Macaca mulatta: one gene and its partners. The protein of the gene in region 3 interacts with the protein of the main gene of each other region in a pairwise test. Links are inferred from orthologs where the notes say so. Each region holds a gene or a part of one and is shown on either strand. Other genes may lie near its edges.

Region 1 (4,135 bases), on a different chromosome or scaffold from region 3:
ATTGGCTGTCGGCCTGGGCTTCCTGGGCAGCAGCGACAAGTTTCTGACAGGCCCAAGTACCCTTATTCCAGACGGTGTCCAGGAGGCGCCTGGCCAAGTGGGAGAGAGGCTGGCCCAGGAGGTGGATGCCCTCGTAGTCTTCCCAGGAGAGGACCTCCCAGGACAGCAGCCAGTCCAGGACACTCTCGAAGCCCTCCAGGGACCCTGAGACCAGCAGCTCCACCAGCTGACTCCTCTGTGCCTGAAAAGCCTCCTGCGAGCACATTTCACAACCTGGGGAGGAGAACAAGGTCAGTGCAGGACTTCTCCAGAAGCCAGACGCGGGGTGGCTGGGGAAGGCCAGGGCAAGTCAGCCCCAGCAGAACCCGAGTTGGCCATGGTTCTAGCCTCAGACATTACCCAATCCAAGCTCCCCACCATACAGATGTGAAAATTGAGACCCAGAGAAGGCAAGAAACACCTCAAGGTCCCACAGAGAGTTTGAAGCAACCAAGAATTAAATCAAGACCCCTAACTCCCACATCCATGCTTGGTCTCCGGCTTAAAACATTTAAAAAGGCTTGAGGTAATATGAGGAGCAAGAGATCTCCCAAGGTCACTTGAGATCAGGAGTTCCAGACCAGCCTGGCCAACACGGTAAAACCCTTTCTCTACTAAAAATACAAAAATTAGCCAGGCGTGGTGTGGGCACCTGTAATCCCAGCTACTCAGGAGGCTGAGGTAGGAGAATCACTTGAACCCGGGAGGCAGAGGTTGCAGGCTGCACTCCAGCCTGGGCAACAGAGCAAGACCCTGTCTCAAAAAAATAATAATAAAAATGTAAAAAGTAGAGAGAGAGAAAGAGAGATCTTCCGAGCAGTCAGGGAATTCATTCTCTTCAAAGCAGGGTGAGAGGGGCTCCACACTGGCCGGATTCACGCTACAGCAGTTTCAGTAATGGCTAATATTAATTAAGCATAAACAACACACCAGGCGCCATTCTAAGTGCTCTCCTGCGTGAATTCACTGAACCCTCCCAGCCACTCTGAAGTAGTGCCTATGATCTGCCCATTTTACAGAGGAAGACACTGAGGCACCGAGAGGCTCAGCGATTTGTACGACATGTCACAGCTAGACAGGCAGAGTCAGGATTTCAACACAAGCCGTGTGCAACTCCAGAATGCATGTCTCTAACTCTTACATTTGGGTTCCCCACGGGGGCCCCAAGCCCTTGCTGTGTGTTTTGCACACTGCTACTCCAAGGGGTACACTCAGAGTATTGTTCTAAAGGTCCTATCCTAGGCTAAGTGAAAAATTACGGTGCAAACTAAGTTGTTTCCAAGCGTTCTCGTGCCTTGTCCCCCATCAACACTTCCCCCACACACTTGCCCTAGGGCCCTCACCTCCCTCCCACGCCCTCGAAACCACCGTGCACAGACTGCTGCTGCTGCTACCGTTAGCCACCTGCTGTGGGTTCTGGGAATTTGAGGGCAAGTAACCCTCCAGGAGCTTCAAGCCCTGGGAGGATCTCTGAGCAGCTGAGAAAATCTCTCAGCATGGTTAGTTCTGCGATTGTCGTGGGGTCTGTGGACAAGGGCTGGTGCAGTGCCTCGAAGAAACGAAAGTGAAAGGGTGTAGGCATGGACAACAAAGAGAGCCGTCGGCTTCTTTTTATAAATCAGGGACATTCCCAGCCACTCGAGGGAGTAGACGCCAAGCGGCCTGGGGATTTTGCCTCTTTGCTGATGGTTGTTTATGTGTCTCTCTCCCTGCCTGGGTCACGTGGAAGCCTGGGTCTTACTCGTCCTAGCATCCCTGAGCCTGGCACGGCACTGTCCCCCGCAGAGACACCGTGGAAATGTTCATGAATCAAATATCCCCTGGGCTGGGGGTGGGAGGAACACTGTAACCATCCTCATACGGCAGCCAAGGTAAGCAAAAGGAAAAACCTCCAATCTCTCAGAACGCTGCTGGGGCACAGGAGGCCCTGTGCTGGTCAGATGGGGAAACGGAGGCAATGAGGTTATGTGTGTGTCTGGCTGCTTGGGAGAGAGAGTGTCCCCCCCCTGCACAGGCCACTGGAATCCAGGAACTAAGGTAGTTCTCTCAGGCCAAGGAGGTCTCCTCCCCGTGCTCACCTCTAAGCAGAGGAGCCAAGAGGGTGGGGTGGCGGGGGACGGGGGAAGAGAGGACCAAAAGGGGGTAGAATAAGCTCTGGGCTTGGCCCTGGAGTGGTTCTCAGCTGTGGAAACATCAGCCAAGGACGCGACAGCAGCCCCCACCATCACCCCTGCCAGGGTCCTGGGGAAAATAACCACCCACCCACTCTCCCCAGAAAACAGCCCAGAGCCACAGTCAGCACTCCCCATCTCACCCCAGGCCTGGGAGCATGCGCGCAGCCAGGGATGAAAGAAGGCTGAGAGTCAAGCTGAGACAGGACAATGCCTGCTCCTCTTACCCAGAAAATGTCCAAGGAGGACACTTGCTCTTTCCTCCTCATCGGGAGAGACTGGACCACCCCCTCTTCCCCCATCAAAGCCCATTAGGCTTGGGGAGCAGGCATGGCATCTGTGGGTGGGCCTTGTGCAAAACACCAAAAGCCCAGCGGCACAGGACTGGTGAGCCTGGATCTGTCTACCAACCCCACCTTCAAGGGAAATTCCCAAAGGAAAAGCCAGAGGCCAGAGTTGGCCAACCAGCCTTCCAGAACTAGGTAATTCCAGGCAATTCTAGCACAAAGCCTTGTGCATCCTGGAGACCATGACCCTCCCTGAAAAACCCCACTGGGGACATGAGACACATTCACGAGGGGACAGGCCACAAGTAAGTAGGGGCCCCTCCCTAGCACACCAAGCCTAGGGCAGCCTGGCCTACGTGTGAGCCATACACACCCCGGCTAGTGACGTCGGGCTTCTGTGGGCACCAGGAAGGGGAGGGCCGCCCAAGTCACGTGACTCGGAGCTCTGTCCTCCCAGCAGCTGCATCACCGCACCTCTGCCCTGGCCTTCTTCCAGAAACCTCAGAGCAAAGAGAATCCTGAGGGCCAATTCAGCCAGTCCCCTGTCTCTGAGCAGGCATTGTCCTGTCTCATATTAAACATCCGGAGAGGAGGGCCTGGCCTTAGTGCTGTCCTCACTAACCAGCTCAGGAAGCTCACCAGCTTGGGAATTTATTCATTATGTCTAGCTAGCTTCAGTTTCTCCTGCTTCAGTTTAACTTGGGAAAGAGACAGAAAAAATATTCACTCATTATCTGTTTCCTAAAAATTGTCCTTCACATCCTTCCTCTTACCCCTTTATTACCTGATCGGGCTTCCCCTCTTCAGGCAAAATCTATTAGTCTATCTGCATTGCCTTTTGATCTCTACTTCAGTTACTACAACTTCAAAGACACCATTGTCCTCCCCAAGGTGAGGCCCATGTAGAGAAAGGAGCACTTCCTTGCTGAAAGAGAGGGTCAAGGAGCGACCCACAAGGGCCCTCCCTGAAACCCAGGCCCAGGTCTGAGCCTGGACAGCTCCTTCCTTCCTGAGACCACAGCCAACCTGGTTTCTCTGGGGCCAAGAGCAAATGCTTTGCTTAAGTGCTGAAATCTCAGCCCACTGACCCCTTGCAGACAGGAGAGGAAGGGAAGCCCAGGGAAGCGCAACTTCCCAAGTATCCCGGGTCTCTGCTGGGGCCAAGCGCCCCCACCCTCCCCCAGCCATCCTGCATTCTCCCTCCCCGGCACTGAACTTCTCTTCCTAAGAGACCAATTCCCCCCACCAGTGCACAATGCACTATATTCTCCATTGTAAAGGTAAAGCCCTCTCTTGACACCCACCTTCTTCATTTGGCTCCAATCCCATTTATCTGCTCCCCTTTATAGCAGACCCCCTTGTCTATTGCCTGTACTGCTGTCCCCAAGTCCTCCCATCCCCTCCCTCACCCTCAAGTTCCCCATCCAGCTCCAGTGAAACTGTCACCAGTGACCTCCCGTTGCTCAATCCTCAGCCCTCAGCCTGCTTGCTCTGCCAGGGGCATTGGTCATATTTGTTCCCTCCTTCCTCTTTGGGGCATTTTCCTCATTTCCTCCAGGGCACCCCAACTCTCTGATTTTCACTCTTTCTGTCTTCTTGGCTGGTTCCTAACACTGGGGGCCTCAGCACCCCTTCTCT
Region 2 (4,120 bases), on a different chromosome or scaffold from region 3:
TTAACAAATGCAAAACCTAACTTTATCAGGCTTTCATAGCAACTTGCTTTCCTACAGAAAATCCTGTTGCTTACAGAATTTCCTGCCACAAACATTTTTGGGAAGCCCTCAGGATACTTACACTGGCTTGTGAATCAATCATATGCTCAGCAGGTACTGTTCAGTGGGATACACAGTGTGGCAATACATCACTCTGAAATATTTCAGTTTCTTTTTTTTCCCCCTAAATCTGGGTAAGTTCGTGGGAATTTGCAGCACACGCGAACATCTTCCATCATTCTTGCATGGGGCAAAGGGAATTGAAAACCACGATTACTTTAGAAAACTAGTTTCACAAATTGGTGACTGTATTAAAGAAGGATATTGGTTTTGGTAGCATGCGACCACACCATTTCTGATCTGAATAAATTCGGAACTTATGACACAGTTCAGAAATTGAATGCACTTTCTCAGTATGAGGAAAGTATTTTAGAATGAGGCCCATTTTTCAAAGGATCTGTGGAAATCAATGCTATGCTCTCATTTAGGAGATGGAAAGAGTGAGGTTACATTATCATTTTGATGAAATCTACAGTCCAGATTACTGGTGGATGAATTGAAACTACTTTTTTATTCATATAAAGCATTTGAAATCAGAAATCTGGAGTACTTTTAAATCCCATTACTTATTTTGTTTTCATTGCCAGGTAATTCCTGAGACAGTACTGCCCCAAAGAGCCTTTGCAATTATGTAAGAATCTCCGAGGCAGTTCTTATGTTCCGCAATTCAAAAGAACCACATAACTGCAATTTAAATACCTCCTCCCCCAAAATAAGGTCAAAGTTTATCTCAAAATAATTTCCCCTTTCTACACTGGGACAAATATGTATAGGAATAATAGAAAATATGTATGGCAATTTCTCAATTCAAAAGAACCACATAACTACAATTTAAATACCCTCCCCCAAAATAATGTCAAAGTTTATCTCAAAATAATTTCCCCTCTCTACACTGGGATAAATATGTATAGGAATAATAGGGGGAAATTCAGTGCACTGAGCATTAAGCTGTCAAAACAGGAATGTTTAAAATATCCTGTTAGTGGTTTAAAAATAATTTGTACTCTAAGTCCAATGACTATTTGCCAGGGAGAACCAAAGTTGAGAAATGTGTATTAAAAACATGACTCAGAGAAAAAAATGCACAGGCTGGTAATGAAGGAAATGATTGGCTATGATTCCCAATTGGTCATTCCTAAGATCACATGTTCTGAGCACCTTTAAAAGGAAGTTATCTGGACTCCAGAGGGTCACAGCACTCTCTTGAAAACTGCAGCTTCCTTCTCACCTTGAAGAATAATCCTAGAACTTACAAAATGTGTGATGCTTTTGTAGGTACCTGGAAACTTGTCTCCAGTGAAAACTTTGATGATTATATGAAAGAAGTAGGTAAGGAAATGCATTGTGGAATGACTGGATTTATAATATTTTCTTTTGGGAACAAGAGTTTATAGCTGTGTTTATAGCAATGTCTGGAAGCCCTGGCCAGAAATGAAAATGCTGCTTTCTATAGAAAGGCTGCACACATAGCAAGTGATAATCATTTGTTTATAGAGAAATTCTGAACCAAAGCTACAACTAATGCTTCCTGAAGGTGTACCAATATTAAAAAGTGTCTAAATTGAATGTTTATGGCCTTTAAAAATGATAAGATTTGACTTTAATTGCAAAACTTGGGTATCCTTGGTTTACTTAGCTCTTTGCCTATTTCTCTTTCATCCCCTTTTGCATATAAAATAAGCAATAACTTGGAAAAAAGTTAGTATGCAATAATTTTCATTTGAAACTGAAAGCACTCTAGTTCCTTTAATGCAATGTTCTTTTTCAATAACTGTATGTTAGCCAATTATTTTCTTGTCTCAATGTTAATCTATTAAAATATGTGGTTGTTTTATGATAGACAAAAATTTTAATTTCAGAAATATGTTTCTTAAACAACTTAAATACTTCCTTTGACTAGAAATGACATAGGATGCCATAGAATTATCAACCAATTTAAAAGGAGAATGTTACGTACATAACATACCTCTTCTTTGATAGTAGAGGTGTTTAATTTTTTAGATGCTATTAACATTGTCAGCATGTCATTGGATGAACGCCTCTCAGATAACAATGGAGGTAAAGTAGAAGAGACAACGTCTCTCTCAGGCAGCTTCTACTTTGAAAGCCTTTCTCCCTCAACCCCATGCATGACAGTCCATGAAAGTCAGAACTGGGGTTAGCAAACTGGGGAGGAATTTTATGCAATCTTCGGGTTTAAAACGTAATTATTAAATCTCAAAACACTTAACCCTCCTGTAAATTATACAGTATATACTTTTTTGCTTGTCTGTAACTATGTTTCTTGTTTTTAGATGATAGGAAAATTGGTGACTTTAGCATGAGAGAGACTTTCTAGGATAAACTAGAGTGATTCAATAAACTAATTAATATGCACGGATGCAGAAATGCCAGGATTTGGGGTCATTTAACTATTTATTTTTAGAAAAATTTTATACTTTTAATATTTATATTTTCTAATAACACTGTGTTTTTAAATTATAAAGGACTGATGATAATTAAAGTCAATAAAACACCTTTTGCATGAAATTGAGGATGAGTGAACAGGTATTGTTTTCATCAGTCACATAAAAGCAAAATCAAGCAAATGGAGACTATGGTTTTTCCCAAGGTCAGCCATTCTAGAATCACACTCAGTTTTGCCTCCATTCACGAAGCAGACTCACTCCATACATTTAATGTTATATTTTGTAACAGAGCCAGGACTTGAAGACACACCTGTGGCCATTTTTCAGACAGCCAGTGAAATCAGAGCCTCAGAATTACTTATTTTGCACCATGTGTCTCTCCCAGTTCTTCCCAATTTCTAACCTTTGGTTGCCTTTAGTCAAAGAAAGAGTTTAGATTTACATGCACATGTTTAAAAAATTCAACACATCTATGACTAATAAATTCTGCATGACATACACAGTGACAGCAAGTTACTGCTATGTTTGGCTGTAAATTATTCATTCCATACCTTGCACAAGACAATATATTCTCCTTTTTAAGAAAGAAAAGTTCACAACTTAGGTGATTGGAAATCTAAGTATTGGCTTCTAACCTATTCTAAACTAAGAAACATTGATTTCTTAAATGTTAAAGTTTTCACAATTTGATGACTAGTCCCTTTTTAAATATCCCCTATAAATTATTAGGAATGATATCACCATTCTAAAATGTTATAAATGTAGGAAACATTTTGCCTTTTGTATAAATTCATCAAAATCTTCATCTCATGGTGGAGTAATTTGAGAAAGAAGCACAGAAAAGTAGACTTGGCAACAAATGCTATGAAATGTGACTTTTGTACACTCAAAACTGACAAACATTTAACTAAGTAACTCTACATTAACCCCCAAAATTCTGTTGAAAATTCTGTCTTTGTGCCTTCTTAAATGTAATATTGAGTATCTAAGATGGAATGGTCAACTATTTTATTAAGAGAGAAAAACAATAGTGGCTAACATTTTAAATATATATCTTCCCAAAGATTTTTGTTGAAAATAAACAATGGGTCTCCTGAGAAGGTGTATCCAGACCAGAGAAAGGGAAATTTAAAGAATAGGCCTATACCTATTGTTTCTCAGAGGTTGTGTGTGTGTATGTGTGTGTGTGTGTGTGTGGTTTTGTGTGTGTGTGTGTGTGTGTTTAAGTATTAACCTGATTTTATCTGCAGGCGCTATTTAAATTAAGGCCTTTAAGAAACTCACTGTGTCTTTTTCCTCTTACACATGCACCTGTGGGCAGACACACATTCTCTGGCTTGGCTAAGTATGTGACAGAAAATGTCAACCTGACATCTTTTCTATTCCTAACTGTAGGAGTGGGCTTTGCCACCAGGAAAGTGGCAGGCATGGCCAAACCTAACATGATCATCAGTGTGAATGGGGATGTGATCACCATTAAATCCGAAAGTACCTTTAAAAATACTGAGATTTCCTTCAAACTGGGTCAGGAATTTGACGAAGTCACCGCAGATGACAGGAAAGTCAAGGTGAGAAATAAGGAACTGGCACAGAGTACATGCCTGGTTTCTAAA
Region 3 (4,001 bases):
GAGTTCGATTTTGAAACTACGGACGTTGAGTTTCCTCTTTCACCCAGAATTTTCAGATCTTGTTTAAAAAGTTGGGTGTGGTTTCACGCGGGGAGGGGGAAGAGCGAGAGGAGACCGGAGGGACGGGGGCGGGGACTCTGCAAGAAAAACCTTCCCCGTGCAATCGTGATCCAGGAGGCCCACGTATGGCGCCTCTTCAAAGGCTGAAGAAGTTTCTTACTAACAAAAAGTCCACACATCGAGCAAAGTCAGGCTTTAGCGAGTTATAAGAACTTAGAGGCGCTCTTGTCCCCCAAAGGGCCCCACCGCACACATCAAAGCGATGGCCCAGCTCTAAGTTGGTAGGACTGGGAACCAGCAGCACGCGCGGAGCCGCGGAGACTCGAGTCAATCTGGTCTAACGGTTTCCCCTAAACCGCTTAGCAGCCCTCAATCGGCGGGACAGCAGGGCGCGGTGAGTCACCACCGGTGACTCAGCGACCCCACCCCTCTCCCTCGGGCTTTCCTCTGCCACCGCCGCCTGTCAACTCCCGCCGTCCGAAGCTGGACTGAGTCCGTTAGGTCCCTCGATAGAGCCTCCCCTCCCCCCAACATCTCCCAGCCAAGGCAAGTCGACAGAGGCGCGGGCCGGAGCAGCCCCCCTTTCCAAGCGGGCGGTGAGCGAGGCTGCGCGGGGCCCTGAGCCCTACGTTCCTGAGCTGTGCGCGCCCCCATCCCGCGTTCCAATCTCAGGCGCTCTTTGTTTCTTTCTCAGCGACTTCAGATCTGCCGGATCCCTTACTCTTCCCTCTTCCCGCTCCTTTGCTCGCGGGTCTCCCCACCTGACCGCAGCCCCGAGGCAGCCGCGCGCTTCCTCCCACGCCCCTCTGGCGCGGTGCCACCGGACCCCTCTGGTTCAGTCCCGGGCGGATCCCCCCTCACCGCGCGACCCCGCCTTTTTCAGCACCCCAGGGTGAGCCCAGCTCAGACTATCATCCGGAAAGCCCCAAAAGTCCCAGCCCAGCGCTGAAGTAACGGGACCATGCCCAGTCCCAGGCCCTGGAGGAGAAAGGCTCGAGGGCGCCCCCACCCCACCCGCCCACCCTCCCCGCTTCTCGCCAGGTCCCTATTGGCTGGCGCGCTCCGCGGCTGGGATGGCAGTGGGAGGGGACCCTCCTTCCTAATGCGGTTATAAAAACAGCGCCTTCGGCGGGGTCCAGTCCTCTGCCACTCTCGCTCCGAGGTCCCCGCGCCAGAGACTCAGCCGCGCTCCCACCACCCACACCCACCGCGCCCTCGTCCGCCTCTTCTCTAGGAGCCAGTCCGCGCCACCGCCGCAGCCCAGCCCATCGCCACCCTCCGCAGCCATGACCACCAGGTCCGTGTCCTCGTCCTCCTACCGCAGGATGTTCGGCGGCCCGGGCACCGCGAGCCGGCCGAGCTCCAGCCGGAGCTACGTGACTACGTCCACCCGCACCTACAGCCTGGGCAGCGCGCTGCGCCCCAGCACCAGCCGCAGCCTCTACGCCTCGTCCCCGGGCGGCGTGTATGCCACGCGCTCCTCTGCGGTGCGCCTGCGGAGCAGCGTGCCCGGGGTGCGGCTCCTCCAGGACTCGGTGGACTTCTCGCTGGCCGACGCCATCAACACCGAGTTCAAGAATACCCGCACCAACGAGAAGGTGGAGCTGCAGGAGCTGAATGACCGCTTCGCCAACTACATCGACAAGGTGCGCTTCCTGGAGCAGCAGAATAAGATCCTGCTGGCCGAGCTCGAGCAGCTCAAGGGCCAGGGCAAGTCGCGCCTGGGGGACCTCTACGAGGAGGAGATGCGGGAGCTGCGCCGGCAGGTGGACCAGCTAACCAACGACAAAGCCCGCGTCGAGGTGGAGCGCGACAACCTGACCGAGGACATCATGCGCCTCCGGGAGAAGTAAGGCTGCGCCCATTGCAAGTCGCTGGGCCTCGGGAGGGGGCTGGAGGGAGAGGGGAACGCCCCCCGCCCCCGCCAGGGCTGCCACGCCCTTGGGGATGAGGCCCGGGGGAGGCCTGCCGGGGGGACTGCGGAGAGCAGCGGCTGTGGCTGTGGCGGCGCAGCCCCGCCCAGAACCCAGACCTTGCAGTTCGCATTTCCCCCTCTGTCCCCACACATTGCCCAAGGACGCTCCGTTTCAAGTTACAGATTTCTTAAAACTACCACTTTGTGTGCAGTTGAAGGCCCTTGGGCACAATGAGAGCGAGTCCTCCAAACTTTTATAAAGTTTCCTGCCCCTTCTGGCGGGCGGCCAATCGCCCGGCGGGCGAAGGAAGGAGGGGAAGGCGGTGGAGGGAGCGAGACAAAGGAATGGTCTCTCGGGGGTGGGTATGGCGGCGCTGTCCTGCAGGTCTGTGCGGCGACCGTGATTGCCCCTCTGCGCGGTGCCCAAGGTCCCACTGAAACCTGCCGAGGGCCACAGGCCTGAAAGCTGCAAGCGCTAGTTGCGCCGAGGTGGCGCAGCGGCTCTGGAGGCGCAGCGCGGCTACGTGGTGGTTGGGTGTGGCCGCCCCGCCCCTGGCGGTTTCCCAGTTCCCCTTTGGTTAATGCGCAACTGTTTCAGATTGCAGGAGGAGATGCTTCAGAGAGAGGAAGCCGAGAACACCCTGCAATCTTTCAGACAGGTTTGTAGGCTCTCTTCCCACTCGCAGCTACCTGACCCCACCCAACACAACCCACGAGCAATTCTAAAAGTTGCTTAACCCACGTCTAAAAAGTGCAAAACTTCAGGGCTGCGCGTAAAGCCCTCTAGTGGCGGGAAGACCACAGATTGGAGCTTCTCATTATTAGAAAAAATATTAATAAAACCGCTTGGACGATTTTTTGGGGGGACGGAGTCTCACTCTGTCGCCCAGGCTGGAGTGCAGTGGCGAGATCTTGGCTAGCAGCAACCTCTGCCTCCCGGGTTCAAGCGATCCTTGAATGATTTCTAAGCCGTTCCTTGGGACATAAAGAAAAATCTTTTAACTTTTTACTTTGTTTGCAAAATGTTGCACAGTTTTGCAACACATTGACCTTCTGGTTTCGAACGGTCACAATTTTAGATTGTGGTTTGCCAAAGTCAAGTCGCTTAATTTTTACAAGGTCACAAAAAGCGCAGTTATGCCCTACAGTTTAAAATGGAAAACGTGTTGGAAGATAAGAAAACTTAGTTTCCAACTGGAATGGAGCCAGCAAGTTTCTTTTCTTCTTTGCAACTTCTATTGTGGCATTAAAGTTCGATGGAAGTATCACTATGCACAACTATTTTGTGATCTAATAAGGGTGAAAAGGAGCCATCTGTCCCCTCGGCTGAGGGGTATTAATGGTTTCTATGGGCTTCACTATGGAATGTAGATACAGACATTCTGGCAAATGTGGTGGCTGTGGACAGAAATAATAGGAGTCTTTGTGTTCCCGGGGAAGCTTTGCAGCAGGCTACATTCTTATTGAATATGTAGTGATGTAAGCACGGTTCTAATTGGACACAAGTATTTGCTAACATCCGTTATCTAATATCTGGCCCAGACTTGAGAAGTATGTAATGTAAAAAGTTTTTAAAGCTACAAACATACCTCACATTTTGAAAGTCCTTTCTTGATTGGATTCTTGTATTCTTTAGCACTCTCGCCATAAAAAATAATAATAATAGTAATAAATCTAAGGCTGAAAAATTCAATTTTAACTAAAGGGTTTTTGTGCGTTTTTTTTTTTTTTTTTTCCCACCAAAATTGGATGGACTTACAGAATTTTTGACTTAAAATTGGAATCCAGAAGCCAGAAGATCCCCATTATAGTCTATAGTTTTATTCCCTGGAATATTTACTGGGATTAACTACAAAGCACTCTCAGATGAATAGTGTAGTACAACATTTTGAAACTGAAATACATTTACCAAATTAATTTAACCACAGCAATGTGTGGTTCATTTTAGTCCTTGAGCATTTTTGATTATCATACCTGTAATGTTTTCTGCAGAGTAGTGAGTTAACGTAAAACAACATCAATACAA

Evidence for each region.
Region 1: the proteins of VIM (region 3) and NOD2 interact in binary tests that used the Homo sapiens proteins (3 or more experiments, as listed by UniProt). The link is inferred for Macaca mulatta from reciprocal best matches to the Homo sapiens genes VIM and NOD2.
Region 2: the proteins of VIM (region 3) and FABP4 interact in a two-hybrid assay, tested with the Homo sapiens proteins (2 studies listed by BioGRID and IntAct). The link is inferred for Macaca mulatta from reciprocal best matches to the Homo sapiens genes VIM and FABP4.

The regions. Positions count from the first base shown.
Region 1 is NC_133425.1:46,148,872-46,153,006, reverse strand, and holds the start of NOD2 (nucleotide-binding oligomerization domain-containing protein 2), read right to left. Parts: upstream 2,809-4,135; 5' UTR 2,523-2,808; coding exon 2,438-2,522; intron 1,911-2,437; exon of another isoform or gene 1,777-1,910; intron 274-1,776; coding exon 1-273. UniProt on the Homo sapiens protein: Pattern recognition receptor (PRR) that detects bacterial peptidoglycan fragments and other danger signals and plays an important role in gastrointestinal immunity.
Region 2 is NC_133413.1:92,013,107-92,017,226, reverse strand, and holds the start of FABP4 (fatty acid-binding protein, adipocyte), read left to right. Parts: upstream 1-1,304; 5' UTR 1,305-1,355; coding exon 1,356-1,428; intron 1,429-3,902; coding exon 3,903-4,075; intron 4,076-4,120.
Region 3 is NC_133414.1:18,787,208-18,791,208, forward strand, and holds the start of VIM (vimentin), read left to right. Parts: upstream 1-1,201; 5' UTR 1,202-1,346; coding exon 1,347-1,909; intron 1,910-2,573; coding exon 2,574-2,634; intron 2,635-4,001. UniProt on the Homo sapiens protein: Vimentins are class-III intermediate filaments found in various non-epithelial cells, especially mesenchymal cells. Vimentin is attached to the nucleus, endoplasmic reticulum, and mitochondria, either laterally or terminally.